5 linked regions of the Callithrix jacchus genome follow. The protein of the gene in region 1 interacts with the protein of each later gene in a biochemical or structural test. Links are inferred from orthologs where the notes say so. Each region holds a gene or a part of one and is shown on either strand. Other genes may lie near its edges. The genes, in order: NF2, CD44, NHERF1, SPTBN1 and AMOT.

What was found.
Region 2: the proteins of NF2 (region 1) and CD44 form a complex in vitro, tested with the Homo sapiens proteins (2 studies listed by BioGRID, with this or other methods). The link is inferred for Callithrix jacchus from reciprocal best matches to the Homo sapiens genes NF2 and CD44.
Region 3: the proteins of NF2 (region 1) and NHERF1 form a complex in vitro, tested with the Homo sapiens proteins (2 studies listed by BioGRID). The link is inferred for Callithrix jacchus from reciprocal best matches to the Homo sapiens genes NF2 and NHERF1.
Region 4: the proteins of NF2 (region 1) and SPTBN1 form a complex in vitro, tested with the Homo sapiens proteins (2 studies listed by BioGRID and IntAct). The link is inferred for Callithrix jacchus from reciprocal best matches to the Homo sapiens genes NF2 and SPTBN1.
Region 5: the proteins of NF2 (region 1) and AMOT form a complex in vitro, tested with the Homo sapiens proteins (2 studies listed by BioGRID and IntAct). The link is inferred for Callithrix jacchus from reciprocal best matches to the Homo sapiens genes NF2 and AMOT.

What each region holds. Positions count from the first base shown.
Region 1 is NC_133502.1:200,268,733-200,274,251, forward strand, and holds part of NF2 (merlin), read left to right. Parts: intron 1-960; coding exon 961-1,178; intron 1,179-2,622; coding exon 2,623-2,728; intron 2,729-5,519. UniProt on the Homo sapiens protein: Probable regulator of the Hippo/SWH (Sav/Wts/Hpo) signaling pathway, a signaling pathway that plays a pivotal role in tumor suppression by restricting proliferation and promoting apoptosis.
Region 2 is NC_133511.1:100,548,905-100,554,423, forward strand, and holds part of CD44 (CD44 antigen), read left to right. Parts: intron 1-2,216; coding exon 2,217-2,345; intron 2,346-3,478; coding exon of another isoform or gene 3,479-3,534; exon of another isoform or gene 3,535-3,777; intron 3,778-3,808; coding exon 3,809-3,937; intron 3,938-5,519. UniProt on the Homo sapiens protein: Cell-surface receptor that plays a role in cell-cell interactions, cell adhesion and migration, helping them to sense and respond to changes in the tissue microenvironment.
Region 3 is NC_133506.1:130,697,124-130,702,642, forward strand, and holds part of NHERF1 (Na(+)/H(+) exchange regulatory cofactor NHE-RF1), read left to right. Parts: intron 1-1,632; coding exon 1,633-1,794; intron 1,795-3,180; coding exon 3,181-3,334; intron 3,335-5,519. UniProt on the Homo sapiens protein: Scaffold protein that connects plasma membrane proteins with members of the ezrin/moesin/radixin family and thereby helps to link them to the actin cytoskeleton and to regulate their surface expression. Necessary for recycling of internalized ADRB2.
Region 4 is NC_133515.1:60,056,818-60,063,006, reverse strand, and holds the start of SPTBN1 (spectrin beta chain, non-erythrocytic 1), read left to right. Parts: upstream 1-2,601; 5' UTR 2,602-2,792; intron 2,793-2,830; coding exon of another isoform or gene 2,831-3,546; intron 3,547-3,853; coding exon of another isoform or gene 3,854-4,304; intron 4,305-6,189. Other genes in the region: uncharacterized protein LOC118147173, read right to left, coding at 1,651-1,803, 2,831-3,546, 3,854-4,304. UniProt on the Homo sapiens protein: Fodrin, which seems to be involved in secretion, interacts with calmodulin in a calcium-dependent manner and is thus candidate for the calcium-dependent movement of the cytoskeleton at the membrane.
Region 5 is NC_133524.1:109,134,995-109,140,513, forward strand, and holds part of AMOT (angiomotin), read right to left. Parts: intron 916-5,519; coding exon 771-915; intron 1-770.

The sequences.
Region 1 (5,519 bases):
ACCTGGGGACTTCCTGGGCTTTTCTGGAGCTCAGTCTCCTGAGGACCATGAGTTACCAGCATTTGCTTTGATATACTTTATTTCAGCTTTTAAAAAAGTTACTGGCTTTTCTTTCCACCTGTGTTGGCAGAAGCAGATTTAGGTTAGCTCATGTGCAGCCAAATTCCACTTTCACCACGAGGTTGCCTTTATAGCCTGGGCACTACTGATATTTGGGACTGACTATCCTTTGTTGTGAGCTAGATGCCAGTAGCAGCACCTCACCTTCCGTTTGTAACAATCAAAGCATCTTCAGACATTGCCACGTCTCTTTTTTTTTTTTTTTTGAGATGATATTTTGCTCTTGTTGCCCAGGCTGGAGTATAATGGTACGATCTCAGCTCACTGCAACCTCCGCCTCCCAGGTTCAACTGATTCTCCTGCCTCAGCCTCCCAAGTAGCTGGGATCACAGGCGCGTGCCACCACACTCGGCTAATTTTTTTGTGCTTTTAGTAGAAACGGGGTGTTACCATGTTAGCCAGCCTGGTCTTGAACTCCTGACCTCAAGTGATCTGCCCGCCTTGGCCTCCCAAAGTGCTAGGATTACAGGCATGAGCCACCATGCCCAGCCTGCTACAAGTCTCTTGCAGGGAACAAAAAGCTCCTCTGGTTCGAACCACTGATTTAAAGGGAAAGAACAGAGTTTAAGTTGTTTTTCTCCGCGTGACACATAAGCCTGAGCTGAAGTGGGTACTCAGAGGAGGTGCTCTTTTTGTTCCCCATGGGTGCAGCCCGAAGGGCCCTTCTGAAAAGCTGGAGAATGTGGCTTGTCACCTCTTGTCAGAGGGTCATGGGGGGCACTCAGCAGCAGGGCCCCAGGAGTCCAAGACTCTGGTTTGTTCTATTTCTGTTTTTAAGGCAGATCTGGGCGGGAGAATAGCACATGATCCCACTTTAGCTAAGAGCCCCGTGCCTTCCAGATGCGATCCGAGGAGACGGCTGACCTGTTGGCTGAAAAGGCCCAGATCACCGAGGAGGAGGCAAAACTTCTGGCCCAGAAGGCTGCAGAGGCCGAGCAGGAAATGCAACGCATCAAGGCCACAGCCATTCGCACGGAGGAGGAGAAGCGCCTGATGGAGCAGAAGGTGCTAGAGGCCGAGGTGTTGGCCCTGAAGATGGCTGAGGAGTCAGAGAGAAGGTGAGGGGACGCTGAGCACCAGACTGGTGAGGAGGCTGGTGAAGGGCCACAGTCCAGCCTGCCCTGAGGCTGAGCTCCATAGCAGCCATCCTCAAGCTGCTTCCCCATCTTCTGGACTGGAGGGAGGCTACTTCTTTGCCAATGGCGACTGATGCTTCATCCAGTTTGGGGCTGGCGCTACCGGATGGGCATAGGAACTCAGTTCTCCTGCCAGGTGCACCTCTCTGGTCGGGCTTGTACCTCTGTGATAAGCCCCTGACCCTCTGATGGCCGTGTATGCAGGAAAACCCCTGAGTATATCCACAGACTGCTTTCAGCTGAAGAGACGTGAGAAGGCTCTTTGTTCATTAAAAAAAAACAACAATAACAAGGTTCTTTTCTGCTTTCATTCGGTGGAGCTGCAGAACAGCAGCTGCTTACCTTTAAAGGGAAACTAGTGCCTGCATCCCCCAGCCTTCCTTGGCACATGGGGGAGGAGGGCTAGGATAGTCTCTGTGACTGGTATGTCCCACTCATGGCCAGGTTGAAGGATGGAACTGTTGTCTGTACTTTTGAAAGACTATTCTAGGCCTGCAACCTTCAGATAAACACTGACACATTCCCCACAGCTTTTGGCTGTTGATTTAGAGCACTTGAATTTGGCTTTTAGTTACCAAGGTGCATTCACTACAGTTTCCTTACCACTCTTTGCATGTCATTCTGGGAATATGGTTTCTTTTTGCCTGTCCTGCTTCGGCCCCCTTGCTGTATGCAGGTCACACTCCCTGTACATGGCAGATGAGGTGCAGAGAGCCTGCAGTTAGGGACTGGATAGAACACCCTGGTCTGCCATTTGGCTTGGACTAGGGACTGCACACACACAACCTGTGATGCAGGTTGGGCCAGGTCCCTGTGCCAAGCCTCACATGCTGTGTCCACCCCAAGCCCCGCAGGGTGAGGATCTTCACCAAGGTGCAGTGCCCTCAGTGACAGGGCTCATCTTCCTGCTGGAGAAAGTGGGCACAAGGCCTGCAGGTGTTTTACCCGGGGACTGTGAAGACACAGCTCTTGCATATACTGCGCTTTGCGATCCGATATAAGAACTTTGATCCTCCAGGCTTTTCCTTTGCCCAGCTTACTTTCACCCAAAAATAAAGCAGAGAAAGCTGCTGGTGCTTCCTCCAGCTCCTCCCTCTCCCGGCTGCAGACGGTCTGGTTTCTCTCATTCCCCACCAGTTTTCCTGCTCTTCCAGTTTAGATTTACCAGCTCAAATGAAAATCTTCAGGAGTGTTGTCCTTGCTTTGGAAGTTTTCATGTAAATGTCCCTGTCCCGCTGTCCTTTTTCGCCTCTTCAGGTACCATCCTCAGGGTTAACCAAGGTCTCTCCTTTGCACAGGTAGGGTGGGGTCTTTTCCCTCCACCTGCCCTGTTCTGTGATGCTGACATCTCCTCCTTTCCTTGCAGGGCCAAAGAGGCCGATCAGCTGAAGCAGGACCTGCAGGAAGCGCGTGAGGCGGAGCGAAGAGCCAAGCAAAAGCTCCTGGAGATCGCCACCAAGCCCACGTACCCGGTGAGCCTGTGGGGTTGCCACCTGGGGCTGCCTTAGCCCTGGTGATATTCTCTTTCCTTCCGGCCCTTCGGTTCATCTGGCAGTGCCTTCAGGCTGACCATTCAAGTAAACGCATGGCAGGATGAGAGGTGCAGAGAGCCTGCAGTTAGGGACTGGGTAAAACACCCTGGTCTGCCATTTGGCTTTGGACTAGTTAGTTGTCTCTCTGGTTGCCTAGATAATAGGCAACAGGGCCTTTTCCAGCTCTGGAATCTTTTTCATGTTCTAAGTAATATAGTCCCAGATTATCCTCAAGAGAATTTGCTCTCTTGCCTCTTAATGCTGAGCTGAATGTAATCTTCAACTATCAGTATATACCATATATCATAATTATAGTTTTGGGAAGGGATTGGCTGTACATCTCAGAGTGAATTATTGCTGTGCAAGAATGAGCAGCCAATCTCAGTTTCAGGACAGAGAGGCAGACTTCCTATTAAATGGGGTCACAAAATGAATAGAAGCCTCTTTCCTTCCTTTCTTCTGTGCATTCAGTTCAGCACTTTTTTTTTTTTTTTGCATATTTGTTCTGTATCCACATTGTGCCACATAGTTGGAAGTCTCTATCCTGACAGGTGTTCTCAGGGTGCATGGGTGCCTAGAGGAGGAGGACACAGCCCATCCTGGAGGGGCAGGAGAGGCTCAGTATGGTGTCTGCACTGAAGCTTGAAGTAGGAACAGGAAGTAGCCAGGTGGAGAAGAGAACATAGGGTATTCAGGATGAGGGCACAGATGCACACATGGCCCAGACTCATACACGGCACAGTCATGCACATGGCACATCCACACACAGCACAGACAAACACACACATACCCATACATACATTCATGCACATGGCACAGGCACATACATGACACAGATGCACAAAGAGCACCAGAGGCACAAGCTGCCTGGGGTTCAAGGTGGGGGAAATGTAAGCAGTTTGCTGTTGTCATATATCCTGGTTCTCTATTACTATGTAACAACCCACCCAAGCCAACCGTGTGGCCCAAAACAACCCTTTATTAGTACCTCTGGTGGCTGGTTGGGTTGACTGGGCCAGACAGAGATCCTTGCTGGGGATCTCTCTGGTGGTCACAGTCAGATGGTAGCTGGGACTGTAGTCATCTGAGCCCTCAGCTTGGCTGAACACTTGAGATGTGTGTGTTGTTTTTATTTATTATTACTGATGTGTGTGTTGTTTTTATTTATTATTACTTTTTTTTAAAATTTATTTAGAGAGTTTCACTCTGTCACCCAGGCTGGAGTGCGGTGGCACAATCTCGGCTCAGTGCAACCTCTACCTCCTAGGCTCAAGCGATCCTCCCGCCTCTGTCTCTTGAGAAGCTGGGACCATAGGTGTGCGTCACCACACCCAGCTAATTTTGTGTGTGTGTGTTTGGTAGGGACAGGGTTTTGACATGTGGCCCAGGCTGGTCTCAAACTCCTAAGCTCAAGTGATCTGCTCGCCTCAGCTTCCCAAAGTGCTGGGATTATAGGTGTGAGCCACCGCGCCCAGTCTATGTGTTGTTTTTAAAATACACACTGGAGCAAACTTTATACACTGCTGTATCCACTCTTTCCTCTTAGCAGTCAATCCTAGAGGAGATGATTCATATCACCTTTTTAATCAAGTTTTATTGTGTAGATGGATTATAATTCATTTAACCAGTCCCTCATGGATGAGTATTTAGTCTGTTTTCTTTTGCAGTTTTGAGCAAAATAGCACTGAACATCCCTGAACACAAATCTTGACACACACACAGGGATATACTGGTAGAATAAATTCTCATAATAGAACTGTGGGGTCAAATTTTCCATTTCGATACTCTCCAAAGAAGTCGTCCCAGTTCATGCTCTCACTAGTGCTACAGCAACTAGAACTTGTTTTTTCTGGAAATTTTTATGACGTATAACATACATATAGAGAAGTGCCGAAATTACAACTATACAGCTTGAAGAATTTTCACAAACTGAACATACCCATGTACCCAGCACCCAGATCAGAAAACAGGATGTCCCTGGCACCCCAGGAGCCTTCTCTTGCCACCCTTGCAGACGGTCTGCCTCAGGCCTTGAAAGTGTCTCAAATGAATGTGTCAAGCCTCTGCTCTTTCCCAGACACTGTCCTGGACTTAATAAGGGATACAAGGATGAAAAAGAGGCAGATCGTTTGCAGGAAACTTGCAAATAGTAGAAAGACACAGCCAAAAAGAAATCTTTTACAGGATGGAATCGCTGTAAAAAGAGCCATTAGAGAACCATAAACACAGCGTTAAGGGACAGCAAAGAAAAGGGTTGCTGGCTGGCTGGGAGGAGCTAGAAAGGCTTTGGTGAGAGACTGTGGTATTTGAGAAGAGCCTTGAAAGAGGGATGAAGTATAGGGAGGAGAAATGGGATAGGCAAGGGTACCGAAACGGGAAAGCAGTAGTCCAGGGATCTTAAAAAGTACGGTCTGGGACTTAGCAGGGCAAATCATGGGAGAAGCTGGGGAGCTAGATTGGGGCCCTCTTTAGAAGACCCTTTGTTCTGGGATGAAAGTAAAAAAAAATCTAATTTCATCACTCCTGCTTCAAGCCATACTCTGGTTCCATTGTCCAAGCCTAAACCCCTCGGTGGGCAGGTAGAGCCCTTTGTGGTGGTGCCCATCTCCCACCCCTCCTCTTCACATGGCAGACTCCTGGTACCCTTACTGGGCACTGCCCAGCCTGCTGCCATGCCTCCCACCGGCAAACCTTCTCCTGGCACTGCCTGGATTCCCAGCAAAAGCAGCAT
Region 2 (5,519 bases), on another chromosome or scaffold:
AAATGTGAGCAATAGCCACTTAAAAACCAAAGGGCTTTGGGACTCTATGGCTTGAGCAGTGCATTCAGACACCAAAAGAAAAGTTTCAGCTATCAGCTAGCATGAGGTTAATAAGTCTTGGACATTGTACTGAATATATCCAGCAGGCCTTACATCCCATTTCATGCCCCAGTAGATTTGATGTATGCATAAGGCTTAGGGGCTGAGTTAAAAAAAGAAATCTGATAAGAAAAGGAAATACAGAGGAAGCAGAAGTCTCTTCGGAATAGGATTCTGTTCCAGTCCCTTAGAGCCCTAACAGTGTATCTTAGAAACGACTTTAGACAGTTTGCACTTAAAGACCAGAAAGCTACTTTAGAGACTTGAAAATAATGAGCCTCTTGTCAGAAGGTGGTGCTTGGGGCATTAATGCTAGAGGGTGGGTGAAAATTCAGACAGAATGTAACTTGACAAAGAGAAGACAGCAACAACTGTAACAATTCTCTTATCAGTATTTGCGAAACTCAAAGGGATCTGATTGGTAACTTCTGGGCTTTAACAAATTAACATCACAACTTCTAGAAGAAAGTCAACCTTCATCTTGTAGGATAGAAATCATATGTTCTGCTAACCCATTCCGATTTAAGCTGAAAATAATAAAGGGTTACAGGTACTTAAAAAATCAGTATGTTTATAAAAGTAGTGATAGAAGGACTATAGAGTCCTTCTGTACAGTCACACACATACACTTCCTTATTTCTTTTATTTAAACTTTGAGTAACACGGCAGTATATATTTGGGTCAATTTTCCTTTTCTGGTAATTACATTCAGTGGTTTTTCCAACTTCATTCTTGTTGGGAATTAGTGATTTAGCCAGTGGGAGGTAAAACTTAAAGATTTCGGCTTTTCTTCCCCTCCCCCTGGATAACCAGTTACCCAAGAATGGCTTGGCCAATGTAAAGGTAAATGAGGATGGTATGCTTTATTTTTTAAATGTCATTGCTGTCACCAAATTACACATATCATTTTCTAAGATAATGAAAAACAGCCATTTTTACAAGTTGCAAAAAAATACTCTGACTTGGCAAGTTTACAGGCTCTCATTTTCTTGATCAACTAAAAACAATTTGCTGTAAGTTGTGTAGACAAAAATGTTGGTGTCTGACTTTTCCTGAAGGCACCTCTATGAAACTTTATTCTGTTGATTTTGTCCTTTTTAAAGCCATGGTTGAAATTGTAAGCCTGTCACACACTATTATTTGTATAATGCCTCAGACTAGCTTGGATAGTTTTTGTTAACTGAATTAATTTTGTTAAAAAGTGATTTTAGTAATTTTGGATGCCGTGTGGACATTACTATACAATGTGTTAGTGGAATAGCATCCAAGCCATCCCATCACCTTTCCTGCTGGGCAAATCCACTGCTGGTGCCTTTCCATTGTGTGTGATTATGGGTTACAGGACCACCATCTGAGAAGGTCTCCTAATGCACTGATCTTGTCATTAGTTGTTGTACAGTATTTCCTTTCCTCAAAATGACTGGAGCAAAGAGGTTATTCTTTGAATGGTTTTCTCAGACAGGGTATGTGATGCCATATACTATAATAAAATAAAAATAATAACTCATGGAACTATGAGAATTCATCAACTGTGGTCTGCTTAGTACTTTGATTTTGAACAAATCAAAACCTCTTTGGACCACAATTTTGACATCTGAAAAATTAAACGTTTGGATCATTTGATTTCTAATATCCCCTTTAGAATATCAGTGGCCTGTTTCTTTGTTGCCTTTCTTTTCTACCTTCTAGCTCCATGTGTATCTGCCCTTAAAGTAGAAAGATACAGCTGGGCGCGGTGGCTCAAGCCTGTAATCCCAGCACTTTGGGAGGCCGAGGCGGGTGGATCACGAGGTCATGAGATTGAGACCATCCTGGTCAACATGGTGAAACCCCGTCTCTACTAAAGATACAAAAAAAAAATTAGCTGGGCGTGGTGGCATGTGCCTGTAATCCCAGCTACTCGGGAGGCTGAGGCAGGAGAATTGCCTGAACCCAGGAGGCGGAGGTTGCAGTGAGCCGAGATCGCGCCATTGCACTCCAGCCTGGGTAACAAGAGCGAAACTCCGTCTCTACAAAAAAAAAAAAAAAAAAAAAAAAAGTAGAAAGATACGTGACAGCTATTGGCAAGGAAAATAGAAATAGACAATTTTGTCTCCCAACTGATATTCTTCTCATAGTCCAGGCAACTCCTGGTAGTACAAATGAAGAAACAGCTACCCAGAAGGAACAGTGGTTTGGCAACAGATGGCATGAGGGATATCTCCACACGCCCAGAGAAGACTCCCATTCAACAACAGGGACAGCTGGTAATGGATGGTTTAACAAGTAAATTTCGATGGCAACTTCCTTTTGGGTTAAATGGTAGACATTGAAGACATCGAACAAAAGGACACTGGAGGAATTGTCACAAGATGTTAGGTTCCTTCATAAATTATCTTGCAGTTAACACAGAGCCAAATCTTAAAGGGTCATAACAAGTTACCCAAACAGGAATAAATACAAGCCATTAGGAATAGGAACGGGAAGCACAGAGAATATGCCCTTAAGAATGTCTCTTTCACATCGAGTTTTGGGCTTCCTCTAGTGAGATTGTAGCAGAGGCCATTATAAAATACCCCCTTTTGTCATGCAAAGGAATATATTCTATAATGTGGGTCCAGAGTTACAATGTGATTTCTCACAAAGTATTTTCTTGTGATATAGCATTTTGTCAAAACTTTGAAGAAACAGAGCCAGACATTATGTGAAAAATGACACCTGTCTGATGTCATTTGGCTTTTTGGTCATGCCTGTTTGTAATTTGTTTTTTCAGTATTAAAAAGGCATCTTCTCTATTCTTGAATTGTAAGATTGTGGAAATTGGAATCAAGTCTTATCATCATCTCTAAGTGATGCCAGATAACTTGGCTCTGCAAGCACCCATGCAGAATTCTTTTGTCTGTGTGACATAGTATTGAAATCTGTCCTGCCTTATAGAGAAGGTGAATTCCATATTCTCAGTTCAGTGAGAAATAGTCCCATGTTTTTCTTTGCAATATAGAAGGTGATGCAGCATGTCCTTCTGGGGCATGGCAAGTTCTGAATGAATTCCTGGCAGATCAATGGATTCTTTGACTGTCTATGTGGTGTGGTTGTTGCTAAGAGGATGCTATTGTAATCTTTTCTACCTATACTTCTTCACTGGCTCAGAATGAAGCCAGGCATTTGCTGCTGTCTTACGTGTCATTTATGCCATAAGTCCCATTGTTAGAAGGTAATGCTTCTAATGGATTCCATTCATGCTTTTGAGATAAACGGCATTGACTTTCATGTTGATCACATGGAAAGCTGTTACTTGATTTCTTTCCTGAGATCACTTCCAGCCTAAGGTGCATTCGGCTGGAATATGGCTGTCTCAGTATGACATCATGCACTTGGGCTCTTATACTTCTGCTCTCAGGGGACTGTGGCAGCATGGCATGGGTCCAGAACTACTTCTCCTTCATCTTCCTTTGATGTCTGTAACTCATCCTCTCTGCGCTGCAGGAGTTGTTAATGCTTTTGTGTCCTCCAGTTCACATGCTGATTGCTAAGAAGAAAATGAGCATGAGTGAACTCGAACCTGCTGAAGCATTCTGCATTTATGCAACTTCCTTGCCCTCTATACAAGGAAGATGGTTGCACTGTCTTGTTAAGAGAATCAAGTCTTTTTTAAAAATAAAATCAATGTACCCCTGACCAAGCGTCCATTAACACTTTGACAATTGCTTGAACTGCATGATCACAACAGCCTCAGCCCACACCAGCCATTCAACCCAAGGAACAACGACATCAAGCCCAGAGGACAGTTCCTGGACTGATTTCTTCGACCCAGTCTCACATCCCATGGGACGAGGTCATCAAGCAGGAAGAAGGATGGGTAATAGCCTCTGAAATTTTTATATATTATGTTTTTTTGAAATCCACTGAGTGACTGTTGACTATTTTTCTGGAAATAAGCCCTTGGTTTTAGACCAGTCTTCTTTCCTGAAGGACTTGAGGTTCTTCAAAAATTTGTTTTCTTGGTAGGAGTGATATGCATATTCATCTGGTATGAACACTTGAGCTGAAGGTAAGGAATTTGTCAGGACAGTTGGCAAAAAAGACATTTATTGTCAAGATATATCTGGGTGAGGCAGTAAGTAATAGATGTGAAATGAATGTTACTAATAATGAATGCTAAAGAAATTCTGAGAACCCCTCCTCACCTACCATAGCATCACAGAAAGGTGAACTGGACCTGATTTATAAAAAATTAAAAAAAACTGGATAGTCAGAGAAAGGAAGTGGGTGGAGGGGTGGGGGAATTTTTCTAAGAAGGAGACTCATGTAAGGAGAAACATGAAGGGAGAAAAGCCAAGGAATGAATATTTCAAGTGAGTGGATCCATTTGTCACAAAGGAAGATATGTTTGAATGGCTAGGCCCAGCACACATGAGTTTGCACATGGCAGCTGAAGCTCTGAGGACACCCATGGGGGAAAACCAAGCCAGGCAAAGATCTTCGGAATCAATATTAAGTCTCTGTACTGATGAAGAGAAAGAGATTCCATTAAATAGATGAAGATGTCAAGGACAATACAATTGGCTTCAACTACACAATGGTGTGGTACCTCTTGAAGGACTCTACTGATAAGAGGGAAGATGAACAAGAGTCTAGAGCCCATCATCAAGTGGGACTTCTTCTGGGAGAATGTCCATTTGTGGCTTTGATTCAGGTTAGCCCTTGCTCTTGTTTGAAATCTGGGATAGGAGAGTCACCACATTTTTGTCCTACAAAGATCTTAAATATTTTAGTGTTGAAAGGCTGCAGTGCAGACATGAGTACCCAGTATTCTGGTGCTTTGCTGGAACTGATTAGCTCTTTCCAGAGGCAGTGATGTGGATGGATTTTGACTGAATTGGAGAGCCAGGAATATTGATGGGGTTTGGCCTCTGTGTCACTCAAGACCTGTTATTTCAGCAGAATAGATCTGTGATAACTATTAAAAACAACATTTGCAAGTATTCCAGTGAAATTTCTGCACTACTCAACATTGTACACGTTAAATTTTAAAGACTCCTTAAATTTGAGTTTCTTGAAAGAATAATTTGGTGACATCCACTGCTTCTTATTTCTTGCCCCTGTATACTTCCTGTAACTCCACCTAGGTGGTATTGGGTGATGATTTTGTGTTTATTTGCACATTCACTTTGTGAAAAGAAAAAGACTAAAGGGGGAAGAGGGCCATTTTTAAAAGCCCCTTTGGTTGGTAAGAGGGAGGGGATAAAATAGTGCCTGAGTCAGTGCACGTTGACTTTTCTCTGTGTGTCAGATTGCATGTTTCTGTAAGAAAGGCAATGTTTCTCTCTCTCTGCAAGATTTGGGTGTTCCATCATGCGCTCTTGTAGAGTGCTTCTAGACTCAGCAAAAACAAACACGAATCATAGCTTTCACATAACTCGGCCCTTCAAGGAAGGCCA
Region 3 (5,519 bases), on another chromosome or scaffold:
GGGCAAGGGGAGGCTTCATTCAGCCTGACTTTGGGGTTCCTGCGCCTCTGTGAGCCGCTCACTTTTTTACCACTCCCTTAACTGCCTTTGTTGTTGGGGTGAGGGGCCCTGGAGCCTGGATTTGGGTATGAAACACAAGCAAGAAAGACCTGCCCAAGCTCTTAAAGGAAGGCAAAGTCACCCTTTAACCACCCCCAGAGACGGAAAGGCTAGGGATTGAGTCTCCTGCAGATGGTGGCAGCCTCCTGGGGCTGGCAAGTTGGGGCAGAGGCCCATAAGCCCTCCTGTGCATGCCTTCTCACCCCTCCCAGCCCCTCTCCACTCCCAGCTGGGGATTTGGGTTTCAGAGCAGCCTGGCACACACGCCCCCACCCCACCAGAATCTCACTCCCAGCTTCCTATGACTATTCATTAGTATTCACAACAATGGGAAAGTCTGGGTGCACACAGAGAGTTTTTACAGTTAGAAGAGGTTTCAGTCAGTTACCTCATTGGGCCTCACAGCAACCCTGGGAGGCAGATGGCAGTCAGAATGATCCATAAATGGCATGTCCCAGGTCACACAGCTCCTAAGCAGGGGAGCCGGAACCTGGCTCCAGGCCTTGCTGTTCATTGCCTGATGTGCTGAGTGATAACCCAGGGCCAACAGGCTGGACAGCAGTCAGTGGCCCTGCACCAGGCCTGGAGGAGGGGGAGAGGGACAGGGACTTGGGCATAGCATAGTCCTTGGGCACAGGCTTCGGCCAAACTGTTTTCAGCTGAGTCTGAGTGCGCAAAAGAAATCCACATGTGCCCTTTTAGTAGGTCCCACCCTCTAGGCCACAGCCACCCTGGGTTCCCATTAGCCCAGCCCTGCTCTTCTCGGTCCCCTCCCCATTCAGGCTCCTCCATTTCTGGGGTCGCTATGCTTTCACTGCCACCTCTGCCCCCGGGCAGTGGTGGGGGTGGGTCCTGGAATACCTGAGGTTGGTCCCCGGTCTTAGCCACATCCCCTTGCTGTGCCACACAACAGGATTTTGGTTATCTGCTCCTTCTGGCTCCCTTTTGGCTGGGCCATTTGGCTTGTTGGGGGTGTGAGGGAGTTCGTGTATATGGGAAAAAGCTTTACTGTAAACACACTGGCCAGCTTTCAGTAAACACCTGCCTCTTCCTTCCCTGCTGCAGAGAATGGGATACAAAGGGGCTAGGGGTCCTCAGTCACATGCCCCAGGTCCCCAGCCAGGCTGACAGGGGTGCCACACTGTGCCTCCTCTCCAGGAGGGCCAGACTGAGCCACCAATGGGGAGGGATAAGGGCTTGATCAACATAGCACGTGATTCACGTTAGACTGTCAGAGGGGCAGGCATGTGAGAGCTAACCTGGTCCCACCCCTCATTTGCCAGAAGAGGAAATTGAGGCTTGGACAAAGCAGTGTTTTACCCATGTCACCTAAGCAGTTTGCTGCAGTGCTGGGTGTCCATACAAGTCTTTTGAGTCCTGGGCCAGAACCCTCTCAGACTGCTTTGTAAGATCTAAGCACATTTGCATCCTTGCAAGCCCTCCTTGGTGGGGGAGATAGGGTCAGGCAGAGGACAGGTAAGGCAGAACCAGGGGCATCGTGGAATAGCCATGGACCCTCCCCTGTCCCCACAGTGCGAGCTTCGTCCTCGGCTCTGTACCATGAAGAAGGGTCCTAATGGCTATGGCTTCAACCTGCACAGCGACAAGTCCAAGCCAGGCCAGTTCATCCGGTCAGTGGATGCAGACTCCCCAGCTGAAGCTTCAGGCCTCCGGGCCCAGGACCGCATTGTGGAGGTGATGCTTCTCGTCCTCTTCCTATCTGACCACCCCCGCCCCCTGCAGAGCAGCAGTGCCAGGGCAGTATCATCATTAGCCCATGGGCATAGCCAACCTGGAGCTGCTGGGTGGATGGGAGGGAAGGCAGGGTGGTAGATGGATGGATGGATGGATGGATGGACAGACAGATGGACTGACTGAGTCCTTTCTTACCCTCACTCTCCCCTGGGCTCCTCCTTGCCAAGCAGACACACTCAGCACCTATGATTCATCCATCAATCAGGGAGATGTCTGGGGCCACCTCCAGAGCTTCCCTGCTGCCAGGCACACAGGTGGGGGTAGCAGTAACAAAACCCCACTCCCGAATTAGGCTTTTATCTTTGTAGTGATATATCTATTTTTTAATTTTTTTAAGATGGGGTCTCACTCTGTTGTCCAGGCTGGAATGTAATGGTGCTGTCTCAGCTCGCTGCAACGTCTACCACCTGGGTTCAAGTGATTCTCCTGCCTCAGCCTCCTGAATAGATGAGATTACAGGTGCCCACCACCACACCCAGCTAATTTTTGCTTTTTTTTTTTTTTTTTTTTTGAGACGAATTCTTGCTCTTGTTGCCCAGCTGGAGTGCAGTGGTGCAACTTGGGATCACTGCCATCTCCGCCTCCCGGGTTCAAGCAATTCTCCTATCTGAGCCTCCTGAGTAGCTGGGATTACAGGCATGTGCCACCATGCCTGGCAAATTTTTTGTATTTTTAGTAGAGACAGGGTTTCTCCATGTTGGTCAGGCTGATCTCAAACTCCCGACCTCAGGTGATTTGCCCGCCTCAGCCTCCCAAAGTGCTGGGCTTACAGGCGAGAGGCACCATGCCCAGCCCCCGAGTTAGGCTTTTAGACTCTTAAGACTCACTCATTCAGTGCACTGGCGCTGTGCTCCTGGGAGAGGAAATGTGAACCAAATGCTCAGGCAGGTCCCAGAATCACAGTCTTAGAACCTTAGAGCTGGAGATCAGCTCTCCCAAGACTTCTCATTTTACACGTGAGAAAACCAACGCCCAGAGAGGGAAGTCGGACAACAAGTCCTTACCCAGGCTGCCCCACCCGGCCTCCCAGCTCACTCTCATCCCATCTCTCCCATCCCGTCTCTCCCAGCTGTGTTTGTTTAGTCTCGTCCGGATATTTTCATTGGCCTTTCCCATGTGTCCTGCCTCCCCAGCTGACTGGCAAATGGGAGGACCCCTGGCCCAGTCCAGGACTTGCAAACATGGTGGGGGTCGGTATCCCCAGGTTGTGAACTGCAAACTGGTTGAGAACCAAGGTGCCTCTCCGACCCTACCCAGCCCTCCTCCACCTACCTGGCCCAGAACCAAGGCCCGTGCCCATAATGCCTCCCTGACCCCGCCCTGCAGGTGAACGGGGTCTGCATGGAGGGGAAGCAGCATGGGGACGTGGTGTCTGCCATCAGGGCTGGCGGGGACGTGACCAAGCTGCTAGTGGTGGACAGGGAAACCGACGAGTTCTTCAAGAAATGCAAAGTGACTCCATCTCAGGAGCACCTGAATGGTAAGCCAGGTGGGGATGCTGGCTAGAGGCCCCCAAGTCATGGATGTGAGCCAGGGCTAAGACTTTGCTGGGTCCCATGCGAGGGGTGGGCAGCTTCCCGGTGTGGGTGCTCCCTCCCTCTCCTTCAGGGAAGACCTAGAGGTGTGGGCTGGGGGAGCATGGGCCTAGTATGGGGAGTGGCAGTGGGTTTCTGAGGATGGCTTGTGACAGGGTCAGCTGGCACGAGGACAGTCAGAGGGACGACAGAACTTCTGATTCCTGGCCAAAGCTGCAGCCCCAAAGGGAGGCCTGAGCCCCCAATTCTGCCTCCACCAGGAAACTTTCAGAGCAGTGTTGATATGAGGAAAGGGTTAACTCCAGGGAGGCCTCCAGCCTTTGCTTGGTCAGATCAGAGTCCAGTGACAGGGCCCAGTGCCTCCCCCTCCCTCCTCTCAGGTTGTCTTGGAAACTCAGCCTTGCTGGCTCTAGAGAGTAGTGGGTCCCCCTTCAGCCCCTGGGCCCCTGCCCTCCCCATCCCCCATCACCCTGCCAGGTCTGGCACCTCCCCCTGCCCAGGCCAGAGCTAAACAGGGCAGGGCTTCTGTACCAGGGCAAGGAGGGGTTAAGCAGTGCTCTGCTCCCTGGTCTGGACTTTCTCCCTGGGAAGATGGCTCCCTGGAGGGGGCAGAGGGTGTTCAATGGGCCATACTGAGGGTGGAACCTCTTGGGACTTTGCAGTATGCAGGGCGTTCACACAAAGGTCCCGCTGCAGACTCTGATCCCCAGCTGGAAAAGCCCACTGGGGAGGCCCTGTCTCCTGTCCCCTAATCTAAGGCCTGGAGGCTCCTAGACTAAGAGGGAATGGCCCCTGGAAGTCCCTAGCTGGCTCTGGGCATGGGAGGTGGGCACTGCCTTACCCTTGTCTCCCAAGTTTATGGAAACTCAGATAATCCCCTTCTCCAGTGAAGGGGAGACTAGGGCCCAGAGAAGCCCCAGCCTTGCTCCTAGGGATCTGGTACAAGGAAGACAGCTGAAATCTGGATTCCACTCAGCTCCTGAGATACTGTCCCCTGCTTCCTCCAGCACCCTTCCCCCACCCCTTCACCCCGAAGGTAATTGGCCCCTCAGATATTCCTCCCTCTCTGCCTGTCTCTGGCTGGAGGGGCTGCGGCCTCTGGCCAAAAGACCTGAAGAGGAGAGGCCTGGGAGCAGTCTCCTCCCCAGTGTCCCTCCAGGATGGCATCCTCACTCTCTCCACAGGGAGGAATGCCCCCCTCCGGCTGCCAAGGTTTCCCCCGACCACTGTGAGCTGATAGGGAGGGGACAGTAAGCGTCCCTGTGTCCCAGCAGCTGTCCTTGCCCCAGAAAGGCTGTGGGCGTCAAAAGGGAGAAGAGAGTCAGGTATCTCTGGCTGTGTCCTGGACCAGGACAAGGGAAAAGATGACCATGAATTTTAAGCCAAGAGTTCAGAAGAAGCCCACCTAGGCCGACCAGTCCCTAGAGATGGAACAGCCACCCCTGAAGCCATGTGGGACCCCTACCCTGAGTGAGCCCAGTGAAGGTGAATCCAGACCTGTCTCCTTCTGACCCCTCCAGGTTTCCCACTGGCTGGAGGAGGGGACACCCAGCACACACCCCTTGAGCCTTCTCCTCCCCCTTCATTTCCTGATTGGCTAATAAGAGTTGGGATTTAATTTTCTTTTCACCTTTTTTTTTGAGATGGAGTCTCACTCTGTTGCCCAGGCTAGAGTGCAATGACTCCATCTCAGCTCACTGCAACCTCTGCCTCCCAGGTTCAAGCAATTCTCCTGCCTCAGCCTCCTGAGTAGCTGGGATTACAGGTGTGTGCTACTACGCCCAGCTAATTTGTTGTATTTTAGTAGAGAAGGGTTTCACCATGTTGACCAGGCTGGTCTTGAACTCCTGACCTCAGGTGATCCACCCACCTCAGCCTCCCAAAGTGCTGGGATTACAAGCACGAGCTGCCACGCCCGGCCTGGAATTTGTACTTTTAACAAGCTTCCCAGGTAGGAGTTCCCAGGTAGGAATTAGGTAGCCATCCTGGAATTTCATCCCCATCCGGGACAATTCATTTTTTAAACACCTTGTGACCCATCAGTGACCTCATAAGGTCAATTTAGTAGATAGAGACCAGTTTTGTTTTGTTTTTTTTTTTTGCCTGAGTCTTGCTGTGCTGTCCAGGCTG
Region 4 (6,189 bases), on another chromosome or scaffold:
TAGAGACAGGGTTTCACCATGTTGCCCAGAATGGTCTTGAATTCCTGATCTCAGGTAATCCACCCACCTAGGCCTCCCAAAGTGCTGGATTACAGGCATGAGCCACTGTGCCCAGCCTTCCCCTACATTTTGAATAGAAAGATAAAATGACAATTTATATCTGTAAAAATTGTGTAATAAAGTATTTTGATGGGAGACAAAGTCATATGTAATCACATGTTTTTAAAATGGAGAGTAGTATGTTACAAACATGTAGACTTCCAGGTTCCTTTAAATCAATCCTGATTCTAATATGAGAAGAAACTTCAATAAAGCTGTTTCTGAGATATGTGGGAATAATCCTTCTGAGCTGTTTTCACTGACTAAGGCTTTTCATCATTTTTAGATTTTTGCCTTCCATAAAGATGTCTTCTCCAATAATCTTTCCAATTGTACTATCTTTTCTTTGAATTGTTACTTCTTTGTGGTCATTGGTACTCTGAGTTCTCCAGCATGATTTTTTGCACTTAAGGGTAATACTTCAAAATTACGAGGCAGGTATACATACTGGGACTCTGAATCCTCGTCTTCCACATTTTTGGAATAATTACTGGTGCTTTACTAGAGTACCTTGCTAAGGTTGTGTGTGGACCCCGCCTTTTTTTTTTAAGGAAATTTAAAAAACAACGTAAGTGAGAGTGGAATGGGTTAGAGGAGGTGAATCATCCATCAAATGAAAATTTATTTAAGTACCATTGTCTGTGATAAAGAAATTATTTAAGAGTCACCATTTCAGAATAACATTGGAAGAATTAACTTAAATGGATGCATTTCCCAAATAGTTACTGTTTTCTTTGGTATTTCATTAACATAGTGGGTAGGGAGGTGCTGGGGTCCATAGTAAAAAATAAGTAAGTGAAAGGGAAACAATTTTGCTTTTTAGTGGATTTTTCTTATTACCTAATGAAGGCAGCAGCTTATAAGTTGATTCTGTTTAATTCAACAAATAGTTTTAAAGTGCCTGCTGTGTACAGAGTGAAGAAAAAAGAACCCTACCCTTAGAGTTTACCGTCTGGTTGTGTTGATTCACCTTCTGAGAAAAAATGTTATTTGCCTTCCTCAATTTTTTTTTCATATCTATCGGAAGTAAACATGGGTACAAACATTCAAACTGATGAAGGCCTAAAAGGAAGAATCATCTTCAGTTTGCTGTGACAATTTCACTTAGTTTTATTTTTAAATATTCATTTAAAAATACATACAAACATATAAACCCATCAGGCCAGGTGCTAGTGATCTGAGATATAAACATGATCCAAACTATTTGCCTTGGTTTTTTGGTTTTGTTTTAATCCAGGTGATCAAGGGTCTTTATGAGGAAAAGCCCTGGGGCTTTTTCAGCCTGGAAGGGCCCTCTTCCCTCTGAAAGCCCACAGTGCCGCCTTGGGCACCTTACAGAGCAAGGAGAAAGTCAGTTTCTTCAAACCGTTTTCTAAAGAGCATTTCCTTTCGTGGTCCTGGTGATTCTACCATCTTTTATTCACACTAGCGACAGTTGTGGAATTTCTACACAGCCTGAGGGGCCAGGTGACTGGGAAGGGCTACTGGGACAGGACAAAAATTCGAGGAAACGTCCAGTTTCCGTTTCGGGGAATACGCAGAGGGGAGAACTCAAGTCCCCAAGCCATCACGGGATCTTCCACCGCGGCCAGACGACCCCACTCCTGGGAGTGACTGAGCAAGAGCAGCTGGCCTCAGGTTCGAGCGGAGCCTGCGCTGGGACAAGCAGGAGTTGGATGAACCACTTGTAGGGTCTGCTCCCAGCTACGCACAGCGAAAGGGTGGGTGAAAAAGCATTCACAAAGGAAGAACACATTAACCTCACCAAGGAACGACCCCATCCCCCGACCCTCCAGCGCCCAAGGTTTCCCACGAAGAGGTCGCCGTCGCCCTTCTCCAAGCTGCGCAGAACCTATAAGGCATCACCACCTGCATCTCAAATCAACGAAGCAAGCGACGCTCCAAAACCTCCCTAAACACCCTCTCTCCCCCGCATTCCAAACGCAACATCAAGGGCGAAAAGAGGCTGCACAAGTCACGTAGAAAATTAGGCCGCCTCTTTCCTTGGCGATAATCGAATTAGCCTCAAATTAAACGTGAAATTGGCCCTCTCCGGCTGTGGGGACAAAGCCCCTATTGTCCTGCTCGGGTAGCAGCAGCAGCAGTGCCCACCCGGCCACGGCCAGCCCGGTCGGTCCCCGCCGCTGGGAGGATGAGGTCCGGACTGGGCGGGGGAAGAGCCTCCACTGGAGAGGACGTGGACGCGCCTGTGGCTCGGCTCCCTGGCCGAGCGAGCGCCGGGTGGGAGGCTGCGGGGCTCGGGGCGGGAGGACAGGGCCGGCGAAGCCGAGGGAGCCGGCGGGAGGGAGGAGGGCGGAGGGCGTGCGGGAGGGAGCCCGCGAGTGCGCGCGCCCGCCCCGCGCGCTCCTCTCCTCTCCCCGCCCCTCGCCCCCTCCCTGCCAGCGCCGTCCTCCCTTCCTCCCCTCCTCCCCCCGCCCCCCGCGCTCCCGCCCAGCCCCCGGAATCAGTGCAGCTGTTGCCGTGCAGGCTGCGGATTCCTCCAGTCCCTCCCTCGGCCGCCTCTCCTCCCGGAGCGAGCGCGCAGCCCTGCGCAGCAGCGCCCACTGGTCCCGTCCTGTGAGCCCCGGCCCCAGCCGCGGACAGACCCGCGGAGTCGCCTCCCGGCCTACCCGCCCGGCCGCCGAGGAGCGGGAGGAGGACGGGACCCCGGCGCCCCCACCCCATCCCCGGAGGTAGGTAGGGGACCCGAGGCAGGGAGATGCCAGCTCACTGGGGCTGCTTCCCGGGCGGGCTCCGCGGCGGCGGACGGGCGGGAGGAGGGGCGCGGGCCCAGGGCCGGAGGACGCCGATGCCCGCCTGCCCAGCGCCCGGGGAGTCGCGTGGGGGCTGGGAGTCTGCAGAGCCCGGGTGGGGGCGGCGCGGGGAGCTCGGGTCGCGGGTGCTCATTGGTACTCGGGTGATGCGGGGCGAGGGGCGGCAGGCTCTGCGGTGAGGCGGCAGCAGACCCGCCTTGCGCACCGCAGCTACCCGGCCCCAGCCCCGGCACGGCGATTCCTCCTCCGTGCCTCCGCCGCCGCTTGTCTACACCCTGGCGCCGTGGGCCCAGGGCGAAGGTGGGTGCGGAGCGGGCAGCCGGAGGGTCTATTTTCAGGTGCCCTCCCTGTGGCCCCGCGGGTGGGGAGTGGGGGCGGCGGTGACAGGGCCGGACTCTGCGCCTAGCGGTGCCGAGGATGCGGCCAGGCGTGGTCCCGGCTGCGCCGCGCTGCAGCTGAGCGGGAGGCGGCGGCCCCGCGTCCCACCCCCGCCCCCTCCCCGCGCTCGCTACCCCCCTGCGCCCGCCCCCCCCCGCCCTCCCTGCTGTCCCCACTCTCCCAGGGCTGGGCGTGAGCCGCCTCCGGGGCGCCGAGCCGCCGCTGCTCCGGCCCTTCAGCTCCCGCACCCTCTCTTCAACAGGTTTGTCTCTGCGCGGGGACCCTCCGGGCCTGGCTTAGGGACGTGGGCTGGAAGCTCCTCTCGTCATCACCCCCCACACCACGCCCACGGCCCTCTTGGGGGGAGCCTTCTCTTTGTTTTTGTGATAGGAAAGGTGCCAAGAGCTGCCATCAGATGGGGAGGGAGTGGGGATCAGAACACAAGCCTCTGTCCATTATTTTTCCAGTGGAAAGCCAGGCCAGATAGTGAGGTCAGGGTGAGTGTGGGGGTGCTTCGGCGGAGGAGAAAAACTAATTCGGTGGGGTTTATTTGGGCGGGGATGTGCTTTTTTGGCAAGATGGATGGCTCACGGTGCCCTCGCCGTGATGCAGCACAATGCAGCAGTATCGCAGCTTCCTCGGTTCTCGCTGGCGGGGCTTGGCACGGCCGCTCGGCGCCTGCGGCCCCCGCCCGGCCCCACCCAGGCCCGGGGCTGCCCTTGGCCAAGGCCTGGAGCTGCTGCTACCTTGTCTTTCAGCTTCAGCTGGATGTGGCGTCAGGAGGACCAGGTCACCCAGGTGTGAGCGGGGGAGAGTCTTCTCTTTTGGGATGATCCCTCCTGCACCTCTTGTTGGGCTGCGTTCCGCCGGAGGGGCGCCCTGCAGCACCAATGCAGGCAGAGGGGAGCCGGCCTGCGGATGCAGATCGGAATCTGATCTCCCACCAGCGGACCTGAGCCTTAGGGAGGGGCAGCAGGAAGGACCGGGCCCAGTCGTGTGCAGAGGCAATGGTGCAGTCAGTGTGGGGAATCGCAGCGTTTTTCTGTGGATCATCCATAATCTGTAACCATAGCCCAGCTACACACTGATTTCTTTCTACGTGGAAAGTTGGTGTTTATTAATTGGACCTTCACAACTGTGACATTATAGTACCTCGTCCGTCTTTGGTTAATACCAAGTGTGCATTTTTTCTATAGGAAACCATTTTTTAAATGAAATGATTAGTGTATTTTAGTTTTATGTCACTGACATTGAAATTCAGGTTGTTTTAAAAGATATTTATATTTTTAATGGACAGTAAATGATTCCTTTGGCGTGTATTTGTTTTGTTTTCATCGTTTGCAAGTAAGTCAAGTACAATTGCATTATTTGGATGCTTTATTAAGGATGACTCGCTGTGTGAGTGTCATGATGTAGGGTAAATTGATATTCAGATTTCTGTTGATTCAGATAGTGGAGTTAAGTGTCCAGGCATAACTAATGGGATTATGACAGTAACAGACTACATTTATGTTTGTTTATATGCATTTTTTGTATACATGTTTTCACAGCTGTGACTGCGGAGTGGGTGGAGAGGTGCAGAGCACCAAGGCCTCTTGACTGGTATCTAGTCAGTAGGAGATGGTTCTCATGTTTAGTCTCGGCCAGGACACAGGGAATTTCCCTTCTAAATGCCATTTCTATAATTCATTTATTCAGTGTGGGATGGCAAATGGGATAGACTTCAAATATCAACCCAGGCTCTTCTAAAATGTGTAGGTGAAAAAGGAAATTTCAGTATGCTAGCTAGAAGGGGAGCTCAGTGTTTGCAAGCCAAGGGCGTGCCTGCTTGTATTTTTAAAAATTTCTAATGAATCTAAGTTAGTGGTTTTTAATTTCATGTGGCTCTGCAGAATAGCACTGCATGTACATCGTGTGGTTTATGTGCATTATTTTGAGTTTCTCTAATAGAGAGCCATTAAAATATGGGACTTTTTGGATTTGGGCTTCATTGTTGTGCTGGTTGTATAAAATCGTGTTTTGTAAAGATTTTTGTGAATGTTGTTTCCATGGATCATCCAGACGTTTTGGATTTACTTTGTTGTAAGAAATATCCTGTGTTGATGTCACAGGAGGTTTAGCTGTTCTGACTTAAACACCAGGTGCGGAATTCTGTTGGGTTAAGCTGTTTGTAACTCTGTTGCTGCTGGAGTGACCAAAACCTTCCTCTGAGAGGAGAAGTATTGGGCAGTGAAGGAACTGCTGTCACTTGGTCATCTCCCACAGTTGAGGTTTTCTGTGAAGAGATTCTCTTGGGCAAGACTAGTAACAACTATCTGTGATGTTGTAGAGCAAATGAGAAGACCTCACTCTACTTGTGACACATCCTGAGCAGAGGCTTGGCATTGGCAGAGTTTCTTGAAAGAGTTTGTAGACTGATTGCTTTGTATTGATGTATGAATGTATGATTTTATGTGTGGACGTACTATTTTGATGTGGAAAGATTTTACTACTACTAAACAAACATAGACATGATTAGTGGAAATCATTCAATGTGGCTTTGTTGAAATAATTTTAAGCTTTTTATTTTAATAACATATTCTTATAGAACATTTTAAAGCCTATTTTTACGTGCAGTGACATGATGCTCCTTTAATTATGTTGCACCCTGACTAGTATCTTCATACTAGTCATAATTCGGCTTTATTTAATGTTCTGTGGATCTCCCTATGGTAGCCCTGGTTCTTTCACTACACTATCGAGAATGCAAACCATTCGTCCGTAAGGAAAGGGCTAGCTACCCCTGTTAGAAGAGCGAGCTTGGTAGGTGTGTGGAAGTGAGTAAAGCATCTCATGGATTTTTCTTGTAAGTTTTTAGTCTTTGCTTTTACTCAGAGCACCTTTTTTTTTTTTTTTTTTTTTTTCAAAAGACCTAATTTAGTACTCTGATTTTTCTGGT
Region 5 (5,519 bases), on another chromosome or scaffold:
AGCACTTTGGGAGGTCAAGGCAGGTGGATCACCTGGTCAGGAGTCCAAGACCAGCCTGATCAATGTGGCAAAACTCTGTCTCTAAAAATACAAAAATTAGCCAGGCATGGTGGCGCACACCTGTAATCCCAGCCAACTACTTGGGAGGCTAAGGCAGGAGAATCGCTTGAACCTGGGAGGTGGAAGTTGCAGTGAGCCAAGATCATACCACTGTTCTCCAGCCTGGGCAATAGAGCAAGCCTCCAACTCAAAAAAAAAAAAAAAAGAAAGAAAAAGAAAAAAAGAAAGTACCATCCCCAAGGTCAGCAGTTTTGAAGGTGCTTTAAAGTAGAAATATTTCCCAAAGTCTTCAATATTATCAGGTGAAAGTAAAAAAAGAAGCCAGTGAGTCCCAGAAATAAGAAAGGACATTATACTTCAAGCTTGCACAGTCAAAGGGCATGCCTCCGCAAAACTTGTTAAAAAGAAGAGGCAGTACCTATTGTGGGGGTAGGCCAGGTGGCTCCAGAAGTCCCAGAAGGGATCCTGCCTACGACATCAGCTCATTGCTCATAAGACCAGGGAGGTGTACCTACACTTTGATTAATCAAGCTTGGGACTGAGCATTATTGCAGTCACAAAAAATTAGCCTGGCACATGCCCAGCCATTTACTGCCCATACCGATAGGTTGAACAACCCCAAAGAGCCTAGCTGGATCCTGCTTGGCCCTTCCCTTCACCACCCTGCAGCTGCTTCAGAAGTATAAAGACAAGCCCATTGGTTCCCTTACCTCTCAGATCCCTGTTGAAGTCATGCATCCTCCGAATCTCACCCTCTAGCTTGTTTCTCATGGCTTTCTCTAGGGCCTCTCTTTTAGAGGATGACTTCACAAGGTTCTCATATGCCTCTGAGACTCGCTGGATTTCTGTCTCCACCTTAACAACAAAAAAAGGAAGATGGTGGTGATGATAGGAGATTGATGGGGAAAATGGTCTGAAAACATACATGCAAATCCTCAGTGACAGCTTCTCTCAGGGCTCACAGATGGCCAGGAGGAAGCATAACACAGTCAGATGAGAAAAGTTTCAAGGAAGGATCTCCAAGTCCAACCATAAGCTTGGTAATTAACTCACTGAGTCATGGTCTTTCCTTGGGTTAAAAAAAAATATATATATAGTTTCTGCCTTCAGAGGAGCTAGTTAAGAATAAATTTTATAAATAGTTATTAATGATTTTAATTTCTCAAAAAATTATTAATTTTGAAAATATTAGTAATAATATATATAGTATGTAGATACTTTATTCCAAACCATTCAAAGGACTTTCTCATGTTGGCTCCAGTTTGTACTGGTATCTGCCTAGGCAGGATACCTCTTCTCATTTTAGTAGAGAGAAAAGTTAAATTGCCTCTGAAGAGCAAATGTCAGCATTAGAGACCAACCCTAAAAACCCCAAGCCTCATGAAGTAGTTCAGTTCAATTTAACAAACATTGACCAAGGGCCAAATATTTACATGAACTTTTAAAAACACTACTGGGGGGTGTAAATATGAATGAAAACATTCTCATTGCTCTCAAGGAGGTTTCAATCCATCAAATGAAAGAATATAGGGCAAGATACATCTTTAAGAAACGTAGTAGTGCCATAAAGCACAGAGAAGGAAGAAGTTATTCCTGGTTGGAGGAAGTGGGGAGGAGAACACTTTCTGGGAGGAGGTGGCACTTAGAGTCAGATCCTGAAAGCTGGGTCAGATTTCAATGAGCAGAGGTGAGGGGAAGGGTATTCTATTCTGAGTAAGCAAATGCATTCCCAGAACGACCAGTCGTCTAATTTGGCTGGACACTGTGGGGTACACAGAAGGAAGCTGGCGAGATATGGCTGCTAAGATAGATTGGAGTCAGATCATAAAAGGCTTTTAATGCCAGGCATTTGGACTTTATCCCATAGTCAGTGGGAAACCAGTATAGATTTTTGAACAGAAATTTGTAATCAGAGTTGTGTTTTATGACATCCCTGCAAATCTTGTAAAATGGGGGAAAAAAACTCAAGAGAGAAAGGATCTTGCCCTGAATCAGCCACAATCAGGCAGAAAACGAGAAATTAGACTCCAGAGTCTTTCTGTAACTAGTATAGCTCCATTGCACATATAATAACCACACAGATATTTGCATATAATTTGTATAAGACAAATAAACCCATGGCCTACTAAGCAAATTTCAGATTAAATTGGACTCTGCAACCATTCTGCATTCCTGTTGTGTTTTCCACTATGCTCCTTAACAAAGCTCAGGGTATTATACGGGGAGAAATATCAGGCCCCTAGTGGGACACTAGGGGAAAGGTAAGGTTGCCAAACCAGTAAGATTCAACCCGCCTCCATCTCCAAAATTCTGCCAGAGACAGGACTGCCTGAAAACAAATGAGGCTTACACCACAGAAAAGAGCAGACTCAAAAGTGTTTTTCTGTTCACAGACTCAAAAGTGTTTTTCTGTTCACAGATGGCACCAAGATAGCAGCACAGAAGGTGAAAACTGGTGAATGGCATTTAGAGACAAGATCTGCAAGGCCGGTGCCTGATGAAGCTTTTGCATGTAACTCAAGCACTCGGTAGAGAAAATAAACATTTCCATCTGAAAGAGCAGGCCTGGTGTTGGTCTGCTCTAGGCAGCATTTACAGTTCAAGGCTGTCCAGTCGCACAGAGAATGTCACACCTGGAAGGCAGCCCCTTTCCTCAAGGTGTGCAGACTGCTATTTCAAGATCTTATACTAATCCTTTCCCTACCCCCGTGTAGATACTGTATCCAAAAGGGCAAGTTGCACAGGTCTCAGTGGGGCCTTCCAGGAGAAGCCATCACAGAAGGATATATCCACTGGTTTGGGCTAGGTGATGGTAGGGGCAGGAGATAGGAGGGTGGCAGAAGGTTTTCCAAACTTACTCTGTCTACTTATTCCTGTCATGAGCCTCGGGCCTTTTCATTTCTTCCAGCTTTACCTGGAATCTACCTTAATTTTCCCCACTTTCCTTCTTTTCTCCTGTTCTGCCTTCCCCTCTACTGTACCTCGACACAGAGTCAGCCTCTACTTCTCCCAATACTCAAGCTGTTCCAGTTACACTTAAATTTAAGGCCTCTTTTCCCATCTTGGGGAACATACAACAGCAATCCTATTCTGCTCCTTTTACCTAACACTGGCTGAACCCACCCCCCCAACAAAAAAAAATCAGCATGGAGGCAGGGCACGGTGGCTCACGCCTATAATCCCAGCACTTTGGGAAGCCAAGGCAGATGGATCACAAGGTCAGGAGTTCAAGACCGACCTGGCCAAGATGGTGAAACCTTGTCTCTACTAAAAATACAAAAATTAGCCAGGTGCAGTGGCAGGCGCCTGTAATCCCAGCTACTCAGGAAGCTGAGACATGAGAATCGCTTGAACCCAGGGAGCGTACGTTACAGTGAGCCGAGATCAGGCCACTGCACTCCAGCCTGGGCAACAGAGTGACGTTCTATCTCAAAAAAAAAAAAAAAGAAAAAAAAAGAAAAGAAAAAATCACCATGGATCCTTTGGCAAAAAGGGCCTGTAGAAGAGAGCTAGGTTCATCCTTCAGTGATTTTATAAAAAATTGGCTGGGGTCACCCTGAAGAGAGAGTTTAGAGAAGGGGTGTCAACTGTTAACCTAATCAGCCAGACTGGGTTTCTGGTATACGGATATAATTAATTTCTTCCACCAAAGTGATGGGGTCAGGGATATAGTTAAAATGAGGGGTGAAAATACAAAGTCAGGGAAATGCTGGAAAGAAACAATTCTCAGACCATTCCAACAACCCTCATCCAGATTTAGGAAATCTAATGGACACAGAAGCCATTTTCCTATATAAAAATCCTCTACTGGTAATAAGCCCTTGTCACCTTTAGGCCCCAAGATTTGGTGTTTGTTTACAAATACTCAGCTTCATTCAGGCCTCTGAAATTTCCACTCCTGGTGTCTTCTAAGGACAGAGTTGCTGGACAATACAAGGCATCCTCCCATCCCTCCCCCACCTTCACCCTCACCTCTCCGAACAGTTCACATTGTAGGGAGATCAAACCACACGAGCTCCACAATAACAAAAGCTGCAAAGAAGCTATCAAAGGCATAACCCTATTCACCAGCAGCCAATGGAAGCCAAGAGCTAAGGTTCCTCACTTGGGGTACTCCAGAGCTCAAGTCCCAGCTGCAGGAGGGGAGGGCAGAGAAGAATGTAACCTGGGGATACACTCCTTTTTCTATTTCCTTAGCTCAGGGTTGTCACCTGTCACCCAGCTGTGGTGCTAAGCCCCTCCTGCCCGCCCCCCCCACACACACACACCAGTGAATGAGAGCAGATGTTGAATTTGAGCTGCAGGAAGGGACCAAATCAAAGGGTGGGGAGGAGGGATTGCTGAAAGAGAGTTACTATGAGAACTCCCACTAGGAAAAGTATTCTGAGCCGTTTCCAGAACAAGGCAGGACCGCTCTAACTTCAGCTGGTGAGATTTTTCTAGGAACTACATTTATTTTTAAATTTAAAATTCAAATTTATATTTGGGAAAATGTGACCAATACAATGAGCCTTAAGGTGCCATCAGATCCTGTACCTACACAGGCATCACAAGTATTCTTATCAACAAGTATCAGCTGGGGGTGATGGCTCACACCTGTAATCCCAGCACTTTGGGAGGCCGAGGCGGGTGGATCACCTGAGGTCAAGAGCTCGAGACAAGCCTGGCTTATATGGTGAAACCCAGTCTCCACTAAAAATACAAAAAATTGCTGGGTGCAGTGGCTCGTGCCTATAGTTCCAGCTACTTGGGAGGCTGAGGTGGGAGGACTGCTTGAATCCAGGAGCTCTGGACTGTAGCGTGCTATGCCTATTGGGTGTTTGCACTAAGTTTGGCATCAATATGGTGACCTCCCAGGCACGGGGGACCACCAGGTTGCCTAAGGAGAGGTGAACCAGCCCAGGTCAGAAACAAAGCTGGTCAAAACTCCCGTGGTGATCAGTAGTGGGATCACACCTGTGAATAGACACTGCACTCCAGCCTGGGCAACATAGCGAGACCCCATCTCTTAAAAAATATATAAAAATTTAGCCAGGCATGATGGTGCAGGCCTGTAATCCCAGCTACTCAGGAGGCTGAGGCAGGAAAATCATTTGAACCCAGGAGGTGGAGTTCGCAGTGATCTAAGATTGCGCTGCTGCACTCCAGCCTGGGCAATAAGAGCAAAGCTCTGTCTCAAAAAAATAAAAAATAAAAAAAAGAAGAGAAGTATCATTGCTTTTTGGAAGTCTAAAAGAATCTATCATGTTTCTTCAGGGCTATGGCGTCTAGAAAAACTGCATAAATTTTTTCCTCCTTGTGTAAATGTAAGATGTTACTTCTCCTAGGTATATAGGTAGAAGGCTTTTTCCAAAGTTTGACCCATATCTAAACTTCGGATACAAAAATCCAGAACACCTGCCATAAGTAATGCTGGGATTCACAAGTGGAGACTTAATATGGGTATTAAACAAGTCCCA